3 linked regions of the Drosophila melanogaster genome follow. The gene in region 2 interacts genetically with the main gene of each other region. Each region holds a gene or a part of one and is shown on either strand. Other genes may lie near its edges.

Evidence for each region. A genetic interaction does not mean that the proteins touch.
Region 1: of spz (region 2) and Toll-6, changing one suppresses a phenotype caused by changing the other (phenotypic suppression), as found in Drosophila melanogaster (one study listed by BioGRID).
Region 3: of spz (region 2) and mad2, changing one suppresses a phenotype caused by changing the other (phenotypic suppression), as found in Drosophila melanogaster (one study listed by BioGRID).

The regions. Positions count from the first base shown.
Region 1 is NT_037436.4:15,333,657-15,341,462, reverse strand, and holds the start of Toll-6 (Toll-6), read right to left. Parts: upstream 4,772-7,806; 5' UTR 4,239-4,771; coding exon 1-4,238.
Region 2 is NT_033777.3:27,063,546-27,074,071, forward strand, and holds spz (spatzle), read right to left. Parts: upstream 6,526-10,526; 5' UTR 5,665-6,525; coding exon 5,599-5,664; intron 3,951-5,598; coding exon of another isoform or gene 3,813-3,950; intron 3,655-3,812; coding exon 3,577-3,654; intron 3,340-3,576; coding exon 3,063-3,339; intron 2,936-3,062; coding exon 2,554-2,935; intron 2,487-2,553; coding exon 2,309-2,486; 3' UTR 2,258-2,308; exon of another isoform or gene 2,144-2,257; coding exon of another isoform or gene 2,015-2,143; exon of another isoform or gene 1,891-2,014; intron 1,778-1,890; 3' UTR 1,543-1,777; downstream 1-1,542. Other genes in the region: CG43935 (uncharacterized protein), read left to right, coding at 2,015-2,143. UniProt on the Drosophila melanogaster protein: The activated form, spaetzle C-106, acts as a ligand for the Toll receptor. Binding to Toll activates the Toll signaling pathway and induces expression of the antifungal peptide drosomycin.
Region 3 is NT_037436.4:5,809,864-5,816,186, forward strand, and holds mad2 (mad2), read right to left. Parts: upstream 3,231-6,323; 5' UTR 3,152-3,230; coding exon 3,079-3,151; intron 2,999-3,078; coding exon 2,852-2,998; intron 2,791-2,851; coding exon 2,387-2,790; 3' UTR 2,272-2,386; downstream 1-2,271. Other genes in the region: S6k (ribosomal protein S6 kinase), read right to left, coding at 427-537; kri (krishah), read left to right, coding at 1,216-1,457, 1,523-2,055, 2,202-2,212; vn (vein), read right to left, coding at 4,952-5,003.

The DNA.
Region 1 (7,806 bases), on a different chromosome or scaffold from region 2:
GCCCTCTTGGCCGTGCCCAGGTTAACACACTCGCAGTTGGCATTGTTCCGGATCTGCTGCTTGGCGTAGTCCACACTGTCGTAGGCCGGAGCAGCACTGGGCAGATAGCTGGGCACCGCGTACTCGTGCTGGCTCCTGCGATTCGCTTGGTGGTTGTGGTGGTGCTGATGCTCCAGGGTCTTGGCCATACCGGCCACACTGAGATCCCGTTGCTGCTTCTTGGACAGCTGGTTCATGGTGTTAAATTTACAAGCTGCTGCCGCCGCCGAGGCTGAAGTGGGTATGGGCTTGTACCCACGACCTCCTCCAGCTGCAGCACACTCGTTGATGGTCGCGTAATTGTTGCTGCCACAGTCCGCGTAGCGGGCACTGGGTGGCGGTATCACCCCACCATTGCCGGCCTGATACTCATGACTTGTGGCGTACATATTCACGGAGGGAGTGCGTCCCGATAGGCAGCCGGATACCACTCGCTTGTTGTTGTTGCCACGACCATTTGGCAGGGGCAAGGCCAGGCGCAGCTTTTGCCAAAACTTCTTGTCGTCCCACTCGATGCAGGTGCTGGTACGCAGATAGTGCCGCATGTCCATGTCAATGTCGCGCTGGGGCAGATCTCCATACAGGATGAAGACCACCCGCTTCCTGCGCTTCACCAGCTCGTGGAGAGCACTCTTGTACTCGAAGCGACTCCACTCGTTGTACAGGAAGTTCTTGGACAGCACGAGCACAAACTGTTTGGCACTTTCGGCGGCTTCGATGAGGGCATCCGTGATGTAGGCATTGATGTTTACATCGCGGTAGTGCAGGCACAGTCGATAGCCGATGTCGTTTTCCAGCGTCTGGGCCAGGATCTGGTTGACGAAGTGCTCGTCCTGCAGGCTGTAGGCGAAGTAGGCATCATTGGGACGCTCTTTGTCCAGCTGGTCAACGAATCGGGGTGACTTGTAGCAGAAGTTCATTAGACAGTTGGTGGAGTGGGCCCATATCTTCAGCTCATGGCGATAGCAGAAGAGTCCGAAAATCAGACCGAAAAAGGCCACAAAGGCACAGGTGGCCACCAGGAGCAGGGGCAGCAGTCCCTCGATCTCGTTGGTGTGCATATAGTGGGCTACACCATCTCGCAAAGTGCACTTGGTACCGTTCTTCTCCCTCAGAACACTCGTAGCATTGTTGTAGATGCAGCTCACCCTGGAGGCATCTATGATCTTCTCCGAGCTCTGACCCAGGTAGTTTCTGAACCTGGCCAGGTAACCACACTCACAGCTCCACTGGTTGTCGGCCAAGCTGATCTCCACCAGGTAGGGATTGGCACTTAGTTGCCACACCTCGAAGTGCATCAATCGATTGCCATCCAATCGCAGGACCTCCAGTTTCCTCAGCATCTGGAAACTCCCATTGGCGATGCTGGCTATTTTGTTTGATTGCAGATATAGCTCCCTCAGGTTCTCCAGATTGTGGAACTCGTTGCCCTCCAGACTGATTATATGATTATCCTCCAAGTGCAGGATCAACAGGCGTTTAAGGCCACTGAAAGTGGTGTTGTATATGTGGGCCACGTTCGAGTTGTTCGCATAGAGAACAGCCAAGTTCTTGCGACCAAGGAACGAATGTCCCGCCAATTCAACAAAGTTGTTGCCATCGATATACAACTCAGAGGTATCCATGGGCACACGTCTCGGCATCTCAGAATAAGCTGCGCCCGAGCACTCCACAATATTTGTGGACCAGGTTTGGTCATGGAAGCACGTGCAATTCGTGGGGCAGGTCATCTCGCAATCACAAGCATCGAACTCACAGCAATGGCAAACGGCGAAGCAATGGGTCTTGTAGGTGCACAAAAAGTGCTTGGGTTCAGCTTCGATCAGGGGAATATAGGCCCTCTCCCTGTTGTTCAGCAACTTGCAGTATATGGTCTCCAGATCCATAATCCTTGGATATTGCCTCGATGTTATATGGTTAATCTTCTGCAGCCAATCAATGTTACAATCGCAGGTGAAGGGATTTCCACCAATATAGAACTCTGGCAGAGCTCGATGTTCCCAAACTGGCAGAATCCTCAAGGACTTGATGTCCAGCGTTGTGATTTGGTTCGCATAGAGATCCACCCGGGTCAGATTGGTTTTGTGCATAAAGGTATCTGGATCAACGGTGGTTATCAGGTTGTCGTTCAGGAACAGCAGTTCGATAGAGTTTGGTATGGAACTGGGTCCAATGCGCTGAAGTTGATTAAAGCTCACATCGAGAGTTTGTAGTTTTAGCTCACTATCCAAACCAAAACGATTTGATAAGGAACTCAACCGATTCTTATGGAGGTCCAGCCACTGCAGGGTGGATGGCACATGTCCATAATCAAAGGATTCCAAACGATTATCGGATATATTCAGCCACAGAAGGGAGGGCATGTTGCTGAAGAGGCCATTGATGTCATTCAGCTCATTGCCATCCAAACGCACAGCTTGAATGCTCGAGGTCATCTCAAAGGCCCCCGGTTCCACAACTGCTATGCGGTTTCTGGCGAGATTCAGGATTTGCAAATTAGGCAGATCCCTGAAGGTGTGCATCGTAATATTCTCCAGGTAGTTGCCAATCAAGCGGAGACCATAGAGATTTCCCAGACCTTTAAACGCACTATCCTCCATAACGGTAATCATGTTCTCGCCCAGATCCACGGTTCTCAAATGGCGCATATTCCTCAGGGCCAGCGGAACTGTCTTCAGCTGATTGCCATTCAAGTTGAGGTCCTGCAGGGCACTGCAGTTCCGGAAGGCATCCGGATGCACGCCAATCAGCGCATTATTGTCCAGCGAGAGCAGCGACAGTACATACAATCCGTTCAGAGCATATGCATCCAGATACTTCAGTTTGTTGTGCGACAGCAGCAGCGTGTGCAGATTATTCATCGGGGCAAAAGTGTCGGCTGCGATGTTCTCCAGCTGATTGTGACGCAGATTAAGAATCTGCAGGGTGTACAAGTCGCTGAAGATCTCTGGCTCCAGTTTGGTCAACTTGTTGTGCGACAAATTAAGCAGAACCAGACGAATCAGACCCACAAAGGTGTTCTTATCGATCCAGGTGGAGGTTATCTGGTTCATGGACAGGTCCAGGGCCTGCAGCTGGTCCAGATTCGAGAAGAGCTGCGGATTCAGCACACTTATGGAATTATTCTGCAGGTACACCTCTTGGATAATCTTGGCTTGCTCAGCGAAGAGTTCTGTGGGCAAGGCCACGATTTTGTTGGAGCTCAGGTTCAGGATCTGCAGGTTCTTCAGTCCACTGAGAGCCTTGTCCGCAATCATGGAGATGCCATTGTTGTTGACCGAAAGGACTCGCAGCCTCCTCAGAGTGCCAAATCCATTTGCTGGCAGCACGACGAAATCATTGTGGCTCACATCCAGGTACTCCAGGTCCAGCGAACAACTGGTGCTTGAGCTACTGCTCTTTTTGGCCGATTCGGTGGTGGAGGTGGATTCGGTGGAACCATTGGTTGGCTCCTTGCTGCGATCCCTGAAGCCCAGCTCGTTGACGTCCTGCAGGCGATTCTCGCTCATGTTCAGGGCAGACAACTCGGACAGGGTGCAGAATATGTTATCCGGCAGGGACCAGATGTTGTTCGAACTGAGGTCCAGTCTCTCCAACCTCCGAGTGACCGAGAAGGCATCCGCTTCTATCTCGAAATTCAGCGCTGGCCACAGGATGTTGTGCGTCCGGAGCGTCAGGTTCCTCAGCTGCTCCAGACCATCCAGAACCTGGCGACCCAGTCGCCCCAGCTTGCAATACTGGATGGACAGCTGCTGGAGCCTAACCAGATGGGCGAAAGATTGCGCCTCCAGGCGACTCTTGGCCATGATTTCGTCATTGCACAGTATGTGCAGGGCAATCGTGTGCTCGGCGGGTATAACACTGAAATTGGTTGTGTCAAACTCGCTGTTCACCGTGCGCAGGTTGCACGTTAAGGCTATTTCCGGCTGATCCAGACCCGCTGCTGGCATGAAGTGACAGTCGTCGGGGGCGTCATACAGCGAAGGGTCACCACCCGCGCCCGCGGTCAAGGGTCGCAGGGTTCGCGCCGGAGTCGAGGGCTGCATTAGCTGCGAGTTGGAGACCCCAGCCTCACCCATTATCGCATTCGAGTGCGACAGCTGCTGCTGCTGGTGGTGCTTGGTGGACAGCGATTCCGTGGTGTGCTGCTGATCCTGGGCCAGGACCACGGGCAGTATGAGTAGCATATAGTAGATCATTTTGGCGATTCACGGTTTAGCTGCGTGGAGGCACCGGAAAATGGGTTTGCGGAGGGGGGAAAGACGGTACAAGCGGGGGTCTTGGGGAGAAACGAAAAGAAAATCAATTCCACTGGCTGGCCAAAGAAAAGTCTGCGCACATATTTTCGGCTTCTGTGCTCCCTCTACTCCAAGCCAGATTTTCTTTATTTTCCCCCGATTCTTTAGTTAATTATGCTCTCCGTGTTTTCTTCTCTCTTACACCCGGCACATTTTCTAGCACTTGGCCTTTTCTATCCTCTTTATATTTAAATTTTTCTTTTTTATTCGTTTCGGCGCTTTGAATTACTCGCTTCGAAGTTTTTGTTTATTACACGTCGCGTTATAGGAACCTTTGATGAATTTCAATTTAGCTGCGGGCTCGACTTCTATTATCACTTTTTCATTTGGCTGAACTGAACCCACTTTTTCTGGGACTTGAGCGGTGCAGCAGCGTCGATATTTTCCGGTTCGTAATGTAACGCGCACGTTGGCTGATTTTCGACTGACTGCCGCAACGTGCGCAACTTCTCTTTTAAATGGAGAGTCGTCCACGAACTCGAAACCCCGAAAATCCGAAAAGCCGAACGCGAGCCGAAGGGGGCTGGAAAACAGACGAAGAGCAGCCGACAGGCTCTGCACGGGCGGGAAATGCTGAGAGTTTTCGGAGAGTATGACTAAAGGGAAATTCGCTCTGGCTCGACGGATGCTGGAAAATGTTTTTCTTTCTCTCCATCTAATCGCATCGAACAGCTGGCGTTCGTTCGTGTTTTCCTTTTGATTTTCTCTGTCTTTTTTCGTCGTATTTCGTATATCCTTTATTTTTTTGCCGCCGAATCGGAGATAGAGCTCCGCACCCCCCGCCGCCAACCGGCGACTTCTCTGCTGTCTCTGTTTTGATAATGAAAATATATGATGTGCATGGGCCAGCGCCAATCTTCATACAAACGTAATTTATTTTTATGCCATGTGCATGTGTGTGTCGGTGTGCCGAGAAGGTCCTTCGGCTGCTTTTTGCTCCTGTTTCGTGGGCCCAGACCCGTATAAAAATAATAATTCCTCACATTCCATTAAATTACAATAATAATTTTAATTAAACTGTTTTGTTTGCGCCTCATGTAACAATTCCTGTGGTTTCATGACTTCTTTTTCGCCCAGCAAAGCAGCAAAAAACTGTCTTCCCCATCAGGTTAATGATAATGATTATGGGCCAGCATTATGGGGTTTCGTTGGGCTTTGGATGTGTGGGGATTTCTGTGGATTCCTCGTTCTCAAATCCGGAAAGTTATGCAAGGACTTGGTTAGACTCGATTGGGAGATGCTGGAAATAGCAAATATGAAAATTCGTGAGCAGAGTTTTTATAAAAAGCTCCTTTTATAGGATATCTTAAATCGCACACTGCAAATTCAGATTTTTGTAGTTACTTAAATTTTGAATTATGTTATTGTCTTTTGGACTTAAATTAATATTTCTTTGAGATTAATTACACTTGGAACATTTTACTACTTCAAATAATAAATATACAATTTTTGCTTCACGCGCCTATGATTTTGATGAATGTATTATAATCTTACCTAAAGTAGTCCTGGTATCTCGAAAAAGAAATCAATCTATCAAGGAAATTTTCCAAGGGTTAATTTACAAAGAAGACTGTCTATTGTTCCTTATTTCGTTAACCTCCGGCATGTATGTATTTTGATTGTTCAATATTTGGGTGAAAGCAGAAATATTGATGGATCACCGCCAACAAATTCAATGGCGATTACCACGGCATGGTAACCTTGATAAACTTCGGGTCTTTCATGACTAATTCCCAAGAAAAACAGCTGCCCTGGACACTTTATCTTGGGCTAATATTTCTTAGCTGGCTTGAAAGTTTTCCCATATCCATGGGTGTTGTGGCTAAGGATCTTTTTGTCGCCACTAAAAGCAAACACAAAAACATTTTTGCCAAATTGCGTCAGCCAACAGAACGCCTCCCACCCATTTTTCGTGCTGGGGTAATGATTTGCCTAATGTTTCTAACAATTATGTGGCTTGGCCACACAAAAGAATATATTATGTAAGTTATTAAAATTATATCACCAGCAGGAGCAGCAGCAGAGCCACGAACAGCAGCCAAGTCTAATAAGCCTCCTGCACAGTGAAGAAAACTATTGCAGTTCAGTCTTAATTTGAGAGATTTTCTCAGTAAGATATTCGCTAAAAATATTAGTTATTTAGGCACATGATGTTTTTCTTTTACCAATTACTCTTGTACAGGGATGTATTACTGTTTTATTCACAAGATTTTCCTTCAGTGCACCCCTTATTTTACTCACCTTCAGGCTTTCGCAGGCTCTTTCAAATGTAAATGGCGGCAAGGACGAGGTTTTGTGGCTCGCTTTCCTTTGTGTGGTGGCACATGCAACCAAGAAGGAATATTTCTTCCCCGGCCTGGTATTCTTTTTTCGGTAGTTATCAATTTGGTGAACGCTTCTGGCTTTTGTCCGTGGTCCTGGTCGCAGCTCCTTTATTTATGTGCCCCATAACGTGGGTTTCTTTCGCTTCGTTTTTTTTTTTTTTTCGGTAACACGAATGACAAGATTTTCATCAACGTCATTAATATTAACTTTTGCAATAATTCTCGAGCTGTGGAAAATTATGAGAAATGACCCAGTAGATAAAGCCAGAGGCTGGGCAAAGCGGAGCTGAATCGGAGTCCACTTTTCGACAAAGCCATAACTCTCGGTGTGCAGATTGGATTGGTTTGCCGGCTATAGTAGATGTCCTTGTCGTGGTATTAGCCTGACGCCTGGACGGCTTTCAAGTCAATCTTAATTGTGGCTCTGTGCTATGGACTCGGCCTAATGACAGCATTTCGGATTACTTTCACTCAAAGCCAAGGGGGAAAGCTAGAAAGAAAGGTTGCATATTTTATGGCGCCCAAGCAGCTTTACGGGTGCACTGTAAAAAATTTTCAATCTGTTGAAGCAACTCAATATCATTAGGTCTGCCATGGATAAATGGGAAGCTCAAATCAAAACACCAAAGTGAGTCTTAGATTAAACAAGCCTACGCTATAACAATTTTTTGACGTACATTCCGCGTTTTACGTGAAAATGGGATTACATATTCCAATCCATTTTGATTACTAAATATTTACTTTTATGTTTTTCAGTGTGTCTATATATGAGGAGGGGGCACAAAAATCACAATTAAATGTAACAATTGCGTCTCTGGGGACCGCAGGTCTGGTTAACAAGAGCATCGGACTCGATTCCCTCCTGTCAGTTGCTTGTCTGATGCCAGCTTAAATTGCCCATACACGTCACAGGCAAACACCACCCAACACCCACCACCTACCGCCCATTGCCCCACATCCTTGCAGTACCCACCCAATGCGATGTTCCTTATCCCCACCCACACCCATCGGATTCACCCATTCAGCTATCCTTTTTGGCAGCTTTGGCTCGTCCTCGTTTGTCGTTTCTCTTTCACTCTGTTTGCGTTTATTAATTGTTGCCTTTATTTTGGCCTCATTTTATTTGATTTGGTTTTCCTTCGACT
Region 2 (10,526 bases):
CGCCCACATGTTGCGCTGACGCAGGGAATAGTTGGTGACCAAGTGGAAACGGTTTATCGGTTTTATCGTTTGCTCATTAGCCGGAATGTTTGCCTTTTTTATCCGCTACTGCCAACAGTAGGCAGTTGCATAATTTGGCATTATGTGGGGCCGAAACGAGAGCTGGAGCTAGAACTCTGGAAAAATCGACTCGAAGTGGAGCCAGTGCAGCGGTTGACTGGTCTAAAGCAGCGACTACCGGCGTATTGGAGCCCGGGCGTCGTCAACAGAACGTATTTATACCAGCCAGTCAGCCAGCAACCGAATAACAACAACACGGCTGGCTGGCTGGCTGGCAATGGCAATAGTACTACCAACAAACAAATCAGGCAACCCCCATTAACTCCTTCGGCCATGCAAATGTGCTGCGGCAATTACGAGCCACCAATGCGACCCACTAGCCCATCTCCATTCCCACCCAAAAACGCCGACACTGTCTGACTGTCCTGCATGTTGTCCATATCCTTGTTTTTAGTTCCATTGTATCCATTAGGGCTAGGGTCGCTCCGTTTCGCGAAATGGTTTGTAGCTAATATACAGCAATATTATATATGGAGCATTACTTAACAAATGATTTAGAAGTAATTAGCACCGATAACGCAGGCGTACTTAATATACAGATGTGTAAACGCTGACTGTGATTATGTATTAAACGTGCACCTTTGTCGTGCAACCTGACTAGTATTGCTAAGTGATTAAGGTATTAATCTGAGGTATGCGGCGTTCGAATACAAGTTCCAGTGTATTTCCACAGTGAATCAGAACAGAACACGAAGGGACGCCAAGTGACCACAATCCGCGCAACGGAGCCAGTGGCGTAATGAGAAAAAGTACATTACAAAGGGCAATCCAAACTCTACGATTATATATATACATATATAAAATCGGTGGGCGGAGATATATGGATAGTTGCTAATTGATATGGACGCGGCTGTGTGTGGCTGTTGGGGATGTGCATGATTGATGACCCTGGCCAATGCCCAATCGACCAGGGCACGACACTGGATTTGGCCAAACGGGAAGGATACCTAATAATAGTAATTAAATTGTGGCACTTTGCCCGCCCACAACGAATCCACAAGCATTCGCATTGTTCGGCCTAACTTTGACATAGTTTATTGTGTCTGGGAATCGATAAATACTATTGATTTCCACATGTGCCAGCGCCAGCACCTCAAGACACATCGCGCATACGCCCCGCTGACAGTTGGAAAAATCCAGCGCCAGGAAGCCGAAGTCGATGCATGTTATCCTTTTGCCGGTGAAAGCCAACCACCACCCCTTTGGGGGAATGTGTTTACACTCACTAGGGTGTAATTGGTTTGCGCAGCGGGGCGAACCGAATTATTGTTAATAAGCAAATAAATTGTCCACCAGGTACTCGCTGATGGGTTCAAAGAACTTTACTTTGCTGGCATGTACTTGCATACATTTATTATACATTATCTTTTTTTAACATACATTTTTCAAATCGTTATTTCTATCTTTCTTGTTTTTTTTTTTGTGTTTTGTGTTTTGTTTTGTTTTTATTCTAGGACTAATTACTTGCATTTCTAGCTTAGGCATTAGACGTGGAAGTCAAAAATGAATATATGACACGAATATGGTTAAAATGACTCGACTTAAAGCTCTAAATTAATATGCACATTGGTCTATGTGTGGATTCAGCAGATTATAGAATAAATCAATGACCACTGATCAGTTTGGCCTGCCATTCTGTGGTGGGTGAAACTTCTTGCTGCAAAGAGAAGAGATACAATTTATATTTTTGGTCTAGTTAACAAGGAAATAATGTCAATGAAGCTGTATACATATTTAGAGTTGTAGTCTCAGTCTGAAAAGTTTGACTCTTCGAATCACAAGAAACATTATTCTTGAATTTAAGTACAATACTTGATAAAGCACAGTTCGAAAATCCGCATTCGAACATATTTTCAAGACTTCTGAATTGCAGACATTATACTATCTCATTCCGATGGATCGCGTCGTTGGCAATTTCGAGAACAAGTTTAAGCATTTGGTGAAGGCTGAAAGCAAGGGAATGGCCCTAAAGCTGGTGGGATTCTACGCCGTCGGCTGGACCCTGCGCAAGTTGGTCAAGTGAAGCGTTCGCCTTAAGTCGCAAGGATTCATTGAAATCCTCTACTTCTTGGTAGTCAGTCGTTTCTGTTCTGTACCTATTTTTAAAATTTAATGTACGAATAAATCGTGGCCTCACCTCAATATCACATTGTCGCAGCCATCGACTGGAGAATCCCATTTTCCAGAATCACCCAGTCTTCAACGCGCACTTGCAGCAGGAAGGGATCTTGAAGGAATTCTGCACCACGTCCAGTTCGCCATCACTTTTGATGCTGGCCAGGGTCTGCTGTGTGTAGTGCTGCTTGCAGATTGGATTATAGCTCTGCGGAAAGTTGGCGGCGAAGTCACAGGGTTGATCCGCTCCTCTGGAAGGGAAGGTTTGGCAATTAGCAAGGCTAATGGAATATATCATAGATTCAAGCTATAACTTACTCGCACTCTTCGATCTGGATGGCCTGTTTGTACTCATCGTTATTGACAATTAACTGCCAGGTGTCGTCCGCCCTCAAGCCCTTTTTTGGGTACACCAGCTTCCTGATGCTCCTGCAAAGGAATCGCTCGTCTGAGCCACCAACGCGAGAGCTCACATCCGTGGGCTGAAGATCGTTGCTAAAGAACTTGGCAAAGTTGTTTTTTAGCTTATGTGTGAGGCCTGAAAGGTCCGGATAGTCGTCCACATTCGTGCAGAAGTTTCTAAGGTGTTGGCTTTCATCCTTGGCGCAGGGATTGTGCTCTTTAGTGTCATTCCTCAAAGGACGAGCTGGGGATTGTGGTGGCCGATACTTGGCTATGGGGGAATCGGGGAAGACAAAGGCTAAAATTAGGCAAGCGCCAAAGGCAGTTGGCCAGTGAGTATGGGATCGATTTAGTAGTTAGTTGTAAGGCATGTTTGGGTATCGAATGTAACTGAGCATATATAGGCTAAAATACTTAGTACTTACTATCCGATGGATGTCGGGGGGGTATCGGCTGTTCGGATTGCACCTCCGTGTCCGTCCTCTGCAAAGATACGAACGTATCGTTAAAGACCAGATTCAGCTTTCCATTCGGGGAGCGCTGCACTTTGAAGTACTGATCTGGTTGGATCAGGCTGTGATACTGATGGTAATGGCGGTTCGTTTCGGGTATCGGAGATTGATTCTGATTCTGTTTCTGTTTCTGGGTCGGATCGTCGTGCTGGGTGGGTATGGGCATGAAGGGTGCACTGTCCGCGGACGTCTGTACGGGTAAAATTTACTCGTGTTAGTCTTTAGCCAATTGGCAAAAAAAGGAAGCACAAAGACAACACACAACCCAATAAGAAACCAAATGAGCAGTGAAATGGGGATGCAATATAGGATGAAGAGTAGTTATAAGAAAGCAGCGCACCAATTCGTCCTTGAAGCTATGAATTGCGTTTCACATCAAAGACACATTTTACAGAGAAATCATGCATTTGCCTATGTATACACTTACATTAAAGAGGACAACTCCCTCATCATTGGTTATTGTAAAAAGCTCTTTGATGATACGTTCATACTCCTTGGCCTCGTACTGTAGCAAAAATGGCGAAATAAAAAGACAAGACAATAGACTTTAGTCTCGGTTCAGAAGTTTTGACCACACCACAGACAAATTAAGGCTATTAAGGTGTTAAGCATAACGATACAACTGGGTCTGTTTCGGGACACTCGGGGACACTGTGCTCACACCTGTAAGTGATTAGATGCTGACTTTCCGGGTCCGCCATTGTTAATGGTAGCCAAAAGGGCCTTATAGTCTGCCACTGTTTTCTCTGCCCTCACCTCGGCCTCGTGTCGCTTCGTTAATTCGATATTGATATAAACTATCTGAAAGATACAGGTGAGAGTTTTGTTTGCAGTTCATCAACATTGCCAAGACAACGGAGTATATATTCGTGGGTCGGTGCTCGGGCTCGTTTGTTTGTCAACCCAGACTTCTCTCTCTCTCTCTCTCTATTGTCGGGCACTACATTTGCGTATTCAAAAGGTTTGAACAGCTGTTTTTCGGGCAAGCGCAGTTTTCTCTCGCAATTCTATAGTTCCGTTGAGTTAGGACCCGAACCTATATACATATAACAACAGCCAGAGTCCAAAATCAGAGTTGATAATCCCCTCGAGAGTTGCCTCTAGCTTAGCAACTTGAAAACGGATGTCCCTCTTCCGCAAGCAATAAAGACTGAATAATTGGAAAATCTAAAGGCAAGCCGATCCTGAATAAAAATCAACATAATCCAACCGGAAGGTTATTTATATAAAAGAACAAGCCAATAGTTGCTTTTAATGTATTGATAATCCGAGGACCATAATTATGCAAATAGCTTGGCGATTTTAGAATTATCAGCACTTTTAGTGCTACTCTTTAAAATATTTCTATGTTATATATATATGTATATGCAGTGATATAAATAAGCCTTGATAATAGCCCCTAATCTCGTCAAGACTTTTTATTATGCTTAAATTCTTGAATAGAGTCCATGGAATCGTCAACAGAATTTACCCAAATTAAAATTGGGTCTCGACGAGCATGTAGAAAACCCGCTTTAAGGTGCCAACCCATCTGAACTTGATTGTCTGAGAACTTTTGCGATTTCTCGGAAATGTTTTTTCCCAATCAATTAGCAATCAACCTTTTTTTAAACGCGTTCATCAGTGTTTGGCGTAGACGCAACTAAGGCAAACATTGGATCGTTTTTCCATCACAGTTTTAGGTTTTCCGTGAACCTATTGGAATTTAGCTAGAACTGAAAACGATCTTTAGAACCGGTCCGCTGCGGAATTCGCGGAAAACCGGAAAGACAAAAGTTCTCGGGCGCTTTTCAAACGGATTTTCTAACATTCGACGCCATTAATACGAACTAATTGCTTTTCTCACAGAGATGATCATACAATTTGTCCGGCAGTAAATTACTTCCAAAGTCGTGTGCAGAATGTCTGGCATTGTTTGTGTCAATTAATATTATTGTAATGCCTATGATGTGCATTTATCATATAGAGAATGAAAATTGCACATAACCTGCCGCTGGCAATGCGAACAGGTTTTCTAGTCTGTGACTAAATTTAAACTTGAAACTGCCCTTCGGCTAATGGAACTGCTAGAACAACTATGGAAAATCTAAAATAAATCTTAATAGCTAAAAAGCCCATAGCCCGAAATATATTGCAATGAAATGACAGTTATGTTAAGCATAGATTAACACGGAACAGAAAAAAACAGAAATGCAGTCGAACTTTCATAACTGGAACAAGCGAGCACCTGTTTCAAATAAACAAAAAATCAAGTTCTGGAGTCTTAAGATCTTAAGTGCTTGTCTTAAGAAGACAAGGAGACTTTAACCTTTTATCAGATTAGATAGATTTGGAATAAATTATTGTTTCGACGCAAAGATCTTTAAATTTTAAAACTTTAACTTCTTTTGAAAGTTTCCCTTATGGAGGTTCGACTGTTTTGAAATTTGTAAAATTGTAAATTTCTCACCGTGGCAAAGAAGGCGAACAGCAGCAGCAGGACTTTGAACAGCGATATCCACATGGGCGTCATCATGCTCGATCTCGGGCTTAATCAATTGGATTTATAAATATATATAGATTCTGCGGACGGCGAACGTCTGCGTCGGGGATTAGTAATAGTATATAGCAGGTGATTGGCGGATCGGTGGCGTCTTATACCAATTTTCTTATTTCTACAACTTTGTTATTATAGCGCCGGCTGCTGTTGTTTTTTAGTGATCTGTGCGTTTTTTTCTTTTTATGGGCTTTGCGTATATAAAAAATAAACAAACTGGCACGACTAAATGTTAATGCCGGGCCTTTATACTGGTAGCTGGTGTTACTGTTGCCTCTTATTTATTTATAAATATTTTGTGCGGTGGCTCTGTGTGATATGTTGGCTATTCCGTTTTGTTTGTTTCCTTTGCACGTTTGCGAGACACACAGACAGACACTTCAATTAGTCGGTTTGCTTTTCACTTTAGTTTCGCTCTCGCCGCTTTAGTGGAACCGTTTTCGGATCGGTTCGATTTGGTTGCTCTGATGAAATGCCGCGATATTGATATCGTTTATAACCGATTTGGCTTGCAACTGGGCAATGGGCTATCCAAGTAGCTGATCGCAGGATATGTGAGTCTTCAACTTTTCGGCTCTGTGCGCCGTCTTTGAGTGACACGAAAAGCTCGAGATGAATGCGCTTTTATGGACCTCAAGCCCGATACCATCTGCCACCGATCTTAAGTGTTTATAGCGACGCGCGCTGGGATTTTCCGGTCAGATCGAGAGTTTCACCATATCTCCCGGGCATGCAGAGTGTTAAGCATTAACCAAGTTCGATTTCGACTGCGATTTCGATTTGGATTTCTCGCGATCGAGAACACACGACAGCGAGAGCGCACGTCTGGGAGGCAACTGAAAATGAAAAGTGGAGCCCAGAGGCCGCCGACTCGACTCGTCTGCTCCCCCAAACAATTGCTCAGTGCTTAAGTGCAGCTTTAAGCTAGCTTGCGAGAGTGTGAGCGGGAGCGGGCGCTGTGCGCGAGCGAGACGCCGCCGGTCAGAGGCGGTGGAAGCGGGATGGGTAGTGAGCGCGAGGGTCGTGCGAGGGAGCGGGACGTCTGGGCGAGCGGACCGCGATTTTATCACAGCTGACTCCGAGCAGTGCTACTAATTGCGCCTGCTTCACGAAAAACTTTACCAGTCGGAATTATCTGAATCATATTACACTTGGAGAAAAGTAAGTGCACATCAAACTAACACTATAATGACTAACGTTTTTAATTACATCTGTTGTTAAACCAAATACAAATCACTGGAGCTTTAAGAAGAATATCAAACCCTCAATTGTACTATTTTAACACATAAGTTAAAAACATACTTTCAAAAACTAATTCCATACAAACATTTTATTCATTCTAATCAGCATAGTTGCCATAAAGCTTTGCATAAAATGTACATATCGTTTGAGTGGCATTTGACACCAAAAATTAACTTCGTTATCGCAAAATTTTTTAAAACAAATATTACGAAAAAGTTAGAGCAGCCACAGAGTAATGTTTGGATGCCTCGAAGTCAGAGCTTTGTTATCTGCGGAAGTCAATCAAAGCTGCATTTTGGATGATTAAGTTTCCGTTTGAAATAATGAATACTGTACTTAATAAACACTTATGTACAAATTTGCCCTTTTCGTCGACCCATTTTAGTAATTAACTATTATCTGTCCGCTTGTTATTGAACATACGCGATTAGAGATTTATTGCTTTTTTATTAGGTATACTTAAAGAAGCAGCGATTGAATTATCACTTTTATTTAAATCCAGAAAGAAAACAAGTTTATAGGTAGCCCGAAAATATAGAAATTTCCCCGAGCTGAAAATAACCAAACTTTGTGGCAAGTGGGTGGTTGATTACCACCTTCTCTATCGGGCTAAACCCATGTTAGCCAAGTGTAGGGCTTCTCACAGTCGGTCAAGTTGACCTGTGAGAAGGTGCCGGCCAGCACTTGTTGCTGCTGAAAGTAAAAGTGGTGCCGGGCCAAAGCTCGGCATCAAAGCTCGCGGAGCACAACTGCTCTGCTCTCGGCACCACCACCAATGAAACTATCCCCACGTTGGAGCCCATCTAATATTTCTAACACATTTGATATTCCGAACGGGTGCCGCAAACGCCAGTTCCGTTGGCGCACGCGTCATGGGAGCCGCAGATCCGAATCGCTTAAATTAGCCCGCCAGTCGCCGCCTTGGAGCGTGCTGAGGCGCTTGGGAAAGATGGTGACTCAATTGGTATTTCCGAGAACGGCGGACAAAAAACCGCATCTTTAAGTCGCACACTGCAAGTAATCGCCATGTAAACGGCATCTGACGCAGTCGTGCCTGAATGGATCTACCTTGTGTGCTTATGTTTATGGCCCAAAGTGGATGTCGTTCGCCATGGAAAAACGGGAACTTCTTAGCAGAATGCATTTTACTTGGCCATATCTACTCATAGCATAGCCTTTCCCCCGAATTATGCACCAATGACTGAGTTGAGGCCATTTCGTAGAAACATCAGCTGCACTGTTGATTCATAAGAATTTCTTTATCAATTAGTACGTAATAAAATGCAATGAAGGGGGGCTGTGTAAGTAGATAACTAAATTGCATGATGATGCAATTTTGTATTATTGTAATGCCCATACATATCTGTTCTAAACAATCTAAAATTCTCAGAAATCAATTAAATCCTCAACTGAACAAACCATTTCAATATATTACGATTGCATCAAACTTGTTTAAATCTACTTGCATACTTTAGGGATCTATTAAGCTTGTGGTGCATATATTTAGGAGGTTTCCAAATTGTATTTTTATGAGCTAAGTTAATGTATATAATTTCAGCTTCCACTATCCTAAATGTTAATTTGAAATCCATTTAGCAGTAAAATTTTAAGTTAGCACCGCCTTAACTAACTTCATTAATTACTTTCAGCGAAACGGCTAAAGTTACAACTTATTAGTAAACATTGAATCATACGTTTGTCTGAGAATTGATACATTGGAAAAGGTCAAGACTTTTCACAATGTCTTGCAATAGTTGTAGTATGATTAACTTTGTAAAGCTTTGAATACCTGTTAATATGTGCGTAGATTAGCTTTAATGAGCAAATATACTTCCTCTTTTAATTTTAATCATTTTATGTATCATATTAGCACAAACTTTGCGAACATTAGGTAAGCCTAAACTGTTAATTTGAAGTGCCAAATGAAAATCACAGAGCTTAAGTAATTAAGGTGCCATTTTTCCAACGACTTGATCCAATTAACCTAATAGTTATTAATCGAGAGGGAAACGAGCTCATTTAGGACGCCCATTAATCGATGTGGCACCTTGGCGATCCAGATGAGCGGCAGATTGGCCAATCGGGCGAGGATGGCCCAAAAGTCACGGGGCAAGTCAAGCGAGCCAGCTCGCGGGTCAAGTTAACGAGAAAATGGTGAAATAGTGACATACGCTTAATGACAGCCTGCTCATGCATGTGTGTCCAAGTGGTCGCAGTATCGCGCTATGTGTCCGTCCGTCTGAATAAGTAATGAAATTGCATTGCACATTCAATAAAATATATTCAAACGGGGCACAATTAAAGCGGCACGGCACCTGAGAAAAATGTGGACGCACCGCTTTACAAAATGCAATTTCAGCCATGACAGCGCCACACGCCAGCGTATTTCTTGTGCGTTCGCCTCGAAAATAAACATTCGAAACAGGCAACGAACAGGACGAGATCGCGGCAGCAGCTGTTGCTCAATTTGTCGGAATAGGCCGATTCGATTGCATCATAGCCATAATCTCGGCAGTATTATATTTTGACAGTGGTGCAAAAAAGGGGTATGAAAAATGGAGATGCCCCTTGCTGGAGTGCTAGGCAAATATATAAATCCAAGCATGCCAGATGCTTTCACTTTTTTCCTGCCCAGCTGGCTGGCGTTCCATATCCCATGTATTGCACCAAATTGAATCATGCCGTGCAGTTTCCTCTCAACTAGACACACAAATAAAGCATAATAGAAATCGACCAAAAACTGCCAAAAACGGGTTCATTTCCGATATGGATTTCAGATATTTTTGTCCCCGCCGCAGCCGAACATTTGCGAATTTGAAGTTGAAGTTCATTGCGCAACTAACGAGCAACTGCAGCAGGAAGTCGAGGAAGTGGAGTGGACTTTGGTGGCTCTGGTGTTCGGTGTTCGGTGTTTGGTGGTCGATGCTCGGGTATTTTCTAGCATTTCCCAATGCGCAGCGGCCTGTTATCGCACTTTACGTTACACTCTGAAAACTTTTCCCAACACATTTTCACATTGCGCTCGCTCTGCCAATTGCCCCACGTCAATTAACAAAAAAACGAAAAATAAAAAAACACAACACTAGCAGCCGAGGAAAACCCATGAAAAGTGAGTGAAAAATTAAAAGCACATGTGTGTTTTTTGGCCTCGGACTTTGGCTGGATGATGATATAAAAAGATAGAAAAAACCCGAACACCATAATGGCAGGAAGTGGCACTCGAGAGCCAGGCGTCTTATAAATTTATTTATGAGAAGACCCAGGACATGAATTCCCGTGACAAAAATGATTTTATTTTAATTGTGGACTTATTGCATTACCGTGTTATCTCATCGCTTTTTTCATCTGTCATTAGCCGATATAAATTGTATGTTAAATTCAATCGGTTACTTCCTTCCTTTTTAAATTTGACCGGTTGTCGTTCGATAGTTTTTCTTTATTATCGCTGCGGTGGCGTATACGCAATATTGGGTGCGGAACATCAGTTAAGTTGAATTGGATTCACTTTCTGTGCATTCAACTTGAACTGAATGGCCACATTGTCGGTTCGTCGGAAACTTAACTTAACCACAAATTATAGCGCAAAAAACATTTATATG
Region 3 (6,323 bases), on a different chromosome or scaffold from region 2:
AAGCAGGGGGCTGCCATGGAGTGTGGCGGGCAATTGGGGCTGATTAGTTTGAAGGACACCACCACTGGCTTCGATTGGCCCATATCAATCGAAGGTGGTTTCGTAAGGAGGTTTTCTCTGATCGAGTCGAACTTATGGTACAATGAGTGAGCGCATGTACATGCGCTGAATAATCGGCGACTGGACTGAAACCGAATGACGCCAGACATTTGCGCAGCAGATAAGCCCAGTTTGCAGGGTGTGCGGCTGGTGGATATGCTGGTTCGGGGGTGTGGAATCGGGATGCCCAGACGAGCGAAAGGAAAACTGGCAGACAAAGCGCAGAAAAGGTAAACAAAGAGGGAAATTGTTGCTGCGCAGTTTGCATCGGGGGATGGTGCGGCACGCATTGGCACGGGATGGCATGGAATGGGGGCTATATCTTACATCGTCCAGCTCGATCCTGTCGTCGTCGGAGTCCCTGGCCTTGTCGTCCTGCAGTTCCAGGTCGTGCAGCTCCAGGTCGAACAGTTCGCTGGGATCGCTCACGTCCGCCATTGCGTGCGTGTGTGTGTTTGGGCGAGTGCGATTCTGTTTGGATATGGATATGGGAAGTGGATCGCCGCTGGTCCGCTCCTGAACTGGGCGCTCCTCTCGCGGGGGGGCGGAAGCGCGTTGGCGATTTATTTTAGTCTCTGGCTATGAGTCTCCTTGTTCAGCTGGTTGGTTCAGATGGAACAGTACAGAACAGAACAGCAGCGGTGCCGATTTCGTGGCTTTCGTCGTGGCCCGAAGGTTATTGTTTATTAGTTAATGGCAATACAAATACACACACACATGGGGGCACACGCACCAACACTGCGACGCACGCACAACGCACCCACACTCACGCACACAGACACTGTGCTCAATGCCTTGCCCACGCGCGCCCTTTGAGTCCGCTGATGTGCAAGAAAACGTTGTTGTTCGCGAACGCCTAATCGCAATGCAGTAATCAGTAATTAAAATGCACTTTTTTCTTTGTTTGCGAGTGAAACACGAGGTGATTTGCTGAGTGTGGCCAGTCGTGCGCTAACTGCCAATTGCTAGAAATTACCGAGGCGCAACGAACGGCAATGCCGCGACAAAGTGTGGCCGTAGCAAGCCAAGCACGCGCTAGGAGGACAAAGTGCTACGTACAATTCTTTTAATTTATTTATTTTATGTAGCCAGTGATAGCAACCAAATAGCCGAGTCATGCGCACCGGCTCGCCCAGCAGCAGCGGCTCCCAGTCGGAGGAGGGCAGCAGTTCCTCAGATCACCAGCAGCCGCAGCAGGAAGCCCAGGAGCAGGAGCAACAGCTGCACACTCCCACGCATGCACATGCCGCGGTGCCAGCTGCCACATCGGAGGAGATCCTGGCGGAGTACGGCAGCAACCTGAAGCTACTCGAGTGCAATTCCCAGGTGGCCGAACTGCTGACCATATTGCGCGACAAGTAGGTGACGTTGGGGAGGAGGAGTCAGCAGCGTAGTAGCAGTACAACAAAATTCTACCCCCCAGGAACACCACGCGCAGTGACTTCAAGTTCTATGCCGACCGTCTCATCCGGCTGGTCATCGAGGAGTCGCTCAACCAACTGCCCTACACCCATTGCGATGTGGAGACGCCCACCGGTGCGATTTACGAGGGACTGAAGTATCGCTCCGGCAACTGCGGCGTGTCCATCATCCGATCGGGAGAGGCCATGGAGCAGGGACTGCGTGACTGCTGTCGCTCCATTCGCATTGGAAAGATCCTGGTCGAGTCCGATGCCAATACGCATGAGGCCCGCGTGGTTTATGCCCGCTTTCCCGATGACATCGGCAGCAGGCAGGTGCTACTCATGTACCCCATCATGTCCACGGGCAACACTGTGCTGCAGGCGGTGAATGTGCTGCGGGAACACGGCGTACCCGAGAGCTGCATCATCCTGTCCAATCTCTTCTGCACACCCATTGCCGCTCGGACCGTAGTGAATGCCTTCCCCAAGCTGAAGATCCTCACCTCCGAGCTGCATCCCGTGGCACCTAATCACTTTGGCCAGAAATACTTCGGTACAGACTAGATACTTGGGTCTATCTCGCAGACTTGACGACTAAGCGCTGCTTAGGATAGGTAGCTGTCGCCCAGACAAACGCCCTTTCCTGCGTTGCGCTCCACTAACAAATGCTACCCTCTCTCACTCTGTTTCGTCCTCCAGATTGCATTTGAGACACACAGACAAATAGACGACCCCTGCGGCCAACCAAACTACTACTTAGCAACTGTTAGCTTTTCACAACTGGCTTTTAATGCAACTCTCAAATACGTTACGTTCGTTACGCACTATTGTAAATATAGAAACGAAATAAATATTTAAACATTAGGATGAGGCGGTACTGCCTTTTAAGTGCTCATCTTGTAGTTGACCACGGTGTCCACCTTGTGCAGTCCTGTAGAAAAGGAGCGCAGCTGGACGGCCTGCGGATTCTGTATGACAATGGCACCCGTTTCGTCCCATTTGGCCGGTAATTCGGTGTTCTGCAGCGTGTGAATCATTATGTCGAAGGTGCAGATGCAATCGAGCAGTGGCAAATAGCTCACGGTGGCCGAGATCTGCCGCATAACGTCGCGAATCTCGTTCTGTATGCGACTCAGCTCCTTGGTGGTTGTTGCCTTGGTGGGATCACTGATATCGCCATCGCCCAACTCGGCCTGCATATTAAAGTCCCAGCACTCGAGCACCTCCTTGGTGTGGGCGTTCGTAATGACCATCGAGATCTTGTTGATCATGTTCTTCGAGAGCCATTCTATAGGTGAATACAAATAATGGTCACCATAAACTTGAATTTTTTCCAAAAGACCACTAACCTTCAGTTTGGCTGAGCACGTTCTGCAGAAAGGTCTTGATCTTGGGATCCTTGGACATTAGAATGGTTAGCCCATACTGCTGCGTGTTGTTAAAGTCTTCGGCTGGGTAAATTCCGCGTTGGAAGAGGATCGAATTGATGCCGTACTCTATTTAGGAAAAAAAAAGAACCAGAGACGCCATTGCAGGCGAACTTACAGACGCTTTCGTGACGTAGCTTGCTACTCACTCAGGTATTCCACAATAATCTGAGCGGAGCCCTTGAGTGTGATGCAGTTTTTGGTCGCCTGGGCAGTTGACATGTTGATTTAAGTCGATTTAAGTGGGAGAGAAATTAACAATTTGCTAAATTGCCGCTATTTTTGAAAGGTGTTGACTAGCAGAGATGACAGAAGCTCGATATACATTCGATACGTTTGTCTGCAATATATCGATAAATATCGGTGAATGTACTCGCTAAATTCAGTATATTTCTATATTTGGTGTGTGTATTGGCTATGCGACCAGGGATGGTGGAACCAGGGATGGCTAACTCCGACCAGTGCTGCCAAGCAATTCCCAAAGGGCGGCATATTTAAATTCATCAATTTATTTGCGCAATAAAATCAAAACACAATTATTGATTGCAACAAATTCAGAATTTTATTGGCCATCCTTGTGTAAACTAAATCTAAGCATGAGATCCATTTCTGAGCGCAAAAGTAATTCCGCGTGGTTCGGCCTAATGGGTTCCATCCGGTTCATCGTATTCCTGCCAAGAGACTAAAATAAGACAAGACTTTGATATAGCCAGAACAATAGAGGACCCAGTTAATCTATGCTATCCAAAACCTAGCTCGGTTCGTCAGAGCCTTGATTACTCTGCCCTCTGATTTGACAGAAAAGATCAGCAAAAGCAGAGCAGCAAATCATAAACGAAGTACAAGAAGCCACAGTGAACAAGAACAGAATATCAGACCAAATCAAAAAGCAATCGATGTTTGTAAAATGTGAATTATTTGCAAATTTTTAATTAAGTTTTTTCTTACGCATCGTTTTGTTTGTTTTTGTTGTTTTTTTTTCGTTTTTGTTTGTTTAATGTTTTGTTTTAAATTAAAATTAAACTTTACATGGTATTTTTGGTATAAATCTTTCAATAATTAAATATATAAAAAATTTGCCACTTAAAATAACTAAAAATAATCTCTACGCACTTTCTTGCTTTACGCCTAGCCATACAAACTGATGTCAACATACACATTGTGAAGAAATAAAAACTAATTTGCCATTTTACATATTTTGGTGTTGAAATTGCGCAAATCCAAAAAAAACGAGGACAAATAAAATAGTATTTCGAAATTAAGTAGCTCCATGGTGTCTGTGTGGGGTGTTCGTGTGTGTGTGTGTGTGTGTGTGTGAGCTTATAGCTATAATTACGTTTAATTTAGGTGTAATTAAATACAATAAATTACGGTTAAAGAAGGGCTTGCATTACCTTAGTTGAAATGTACACAAAACTTATCGTTAGTTAAAACGAGAGCTATTTACAGGATTTATTACAAAGTTCTCGGCTACGTCAACCTTTGTTATCATTTTAAAATTATTGTCTATGATACAACAACAAAAGCGCAACAATGTCAAAGTCAGGGTCGAATCGGTAATGCTTTGCTCTCGAACTTTGAACCGCAAACTTCGATCTTAGATGTTATATGTATGTGATATATTTCGTAAAATAAATAATTTAAAATTCTGCTCAGCTTTCATACATCCGATTTATACATTTAAGATATTCTGTCACCGTGCACAAGAACAAACGTAGCTAAAGTCAGTCTGGATCTGGAACTTTTCGCTCGGGAAGAAGGAACTCTAGGCGAGGGGAATTGTACGAATTTTGAAATGTTTTCTGTTTTCTGTTTTCGGATATGTATTCTTTGTAGTTGCAAACTTTGAGAACGGTGATGGGTTTTTGGGCATGGTCAGCTGGTGCAACAAATTCTCTAATTTTTTAATAAACGTAAAAAATTACAATTGTCCACGTTTTTGGAGTGCAGGGAGTTCGATTTTTTTTTTGTTTTTCGTTTTGTTTATAAAATCATAAAAATAATGAAACAAAATTCTATGCATTAATAGTCGTTATTTAAGGTATGTATTTGGCCGTAGATTGCAACAAAATATCTGTGAAGAGATTAAATTATAAATAAAATTAAAAATTAATCTTTCAGTTCTTCATTTACTGCTAACTAAAAGCTGGCTAACACCATTTCCACAATTAGGGGCAACTACAAGCATAAAATTGCGCTCTCAAATGAAAAAATCCATGCAGAAGGATATTGAAGAGAAGGTCTTTAGCAAGAACTACTTGAAAATTAGTGATTTGATATATGTATGTATATATTTTTATTTTGGGTTCATTCGAGCTCAAGATTTCACTTTGCCGTGGAGTTTACACTTAAGGAGGAAACGAGCACAAACTAAGGAAGTAATAGTGAACAGAGTTACCCAAATCGGAAACGCAGGAGATTAGTTAAAAGAAAAAATACAAAAAAAAAAAAAAACAATCACCAAATAAAAGAAAACGAGGAGCAGAATGAAATTGTTGGTTTGTTTGATTTGATTTGAATTGGGTTCTTTTCGGTGTATTTTTTTTTTGGTTTGTCAAAATCTACAGCCAAGTGTTAATGTCTAATAACGAGTAATAACTTAAATTAATTGAAAATCATAAATTCTAATGGGTTATCGAATGTGGTTTGTTTTTAATATTTGCAAACTACAAATAATAACACTGAAAACAAAACAAAATTCAGTTCCCGTTTCAAATGTTTAGTCAGTTCGATGCCTTTGTGGGTGAGTGCTGTTTTTTTTTGTAACTAACTTGCCAGCGTTTATGCGTGTTGATATTCGTGTATCTAACTAAGAGAGCCTCTGTTGATTTTTATCGTAAATCTGGATATTCATATTGAGTGTGAGTGGGTGAGTAAGTGTGGGCTGAGCCAAAGGATTCGACAAGTTTCTCAGTACTTTGTGGGGGAAATGTCCCTTTTTAGTCAAATTTTCCTGTTGTCCGGTGTCCGTCCGCTTGTCCGTCCGTATGTCCGAGTTGCTTGATTATTTTGTTTTGTTTTGCTGTTTTTTGTTTTTTTGTTTTACATTTACTTGTGGTTTTGGTTGGTGTGGTTCGTGTGATGAGTGAATTGAAATTAAATTAAGTTCCTATGTAAACACTATTTAAAATAAACCTTCTATAGCACCCTTTGTTTTTATTCGTATTTATTTGCATTCTTCTCGTTTTTATTGATTGCTCTTAATATGTTTTTTAGTTTATAAAATTATATATATTATGAACAACTTGGTTAGTTATTTATTTCGTTTACTCTTTGTTTTCATTACTAAGACTTTACTTTGTTTCTTTTTGGAATGTGTTCTCTAATAAAACTTTTAGTTCGTCGTTTTACAAAGTGACTGTTGATAGTTGGGGGTCTGTGTGTGTGGAGTGTC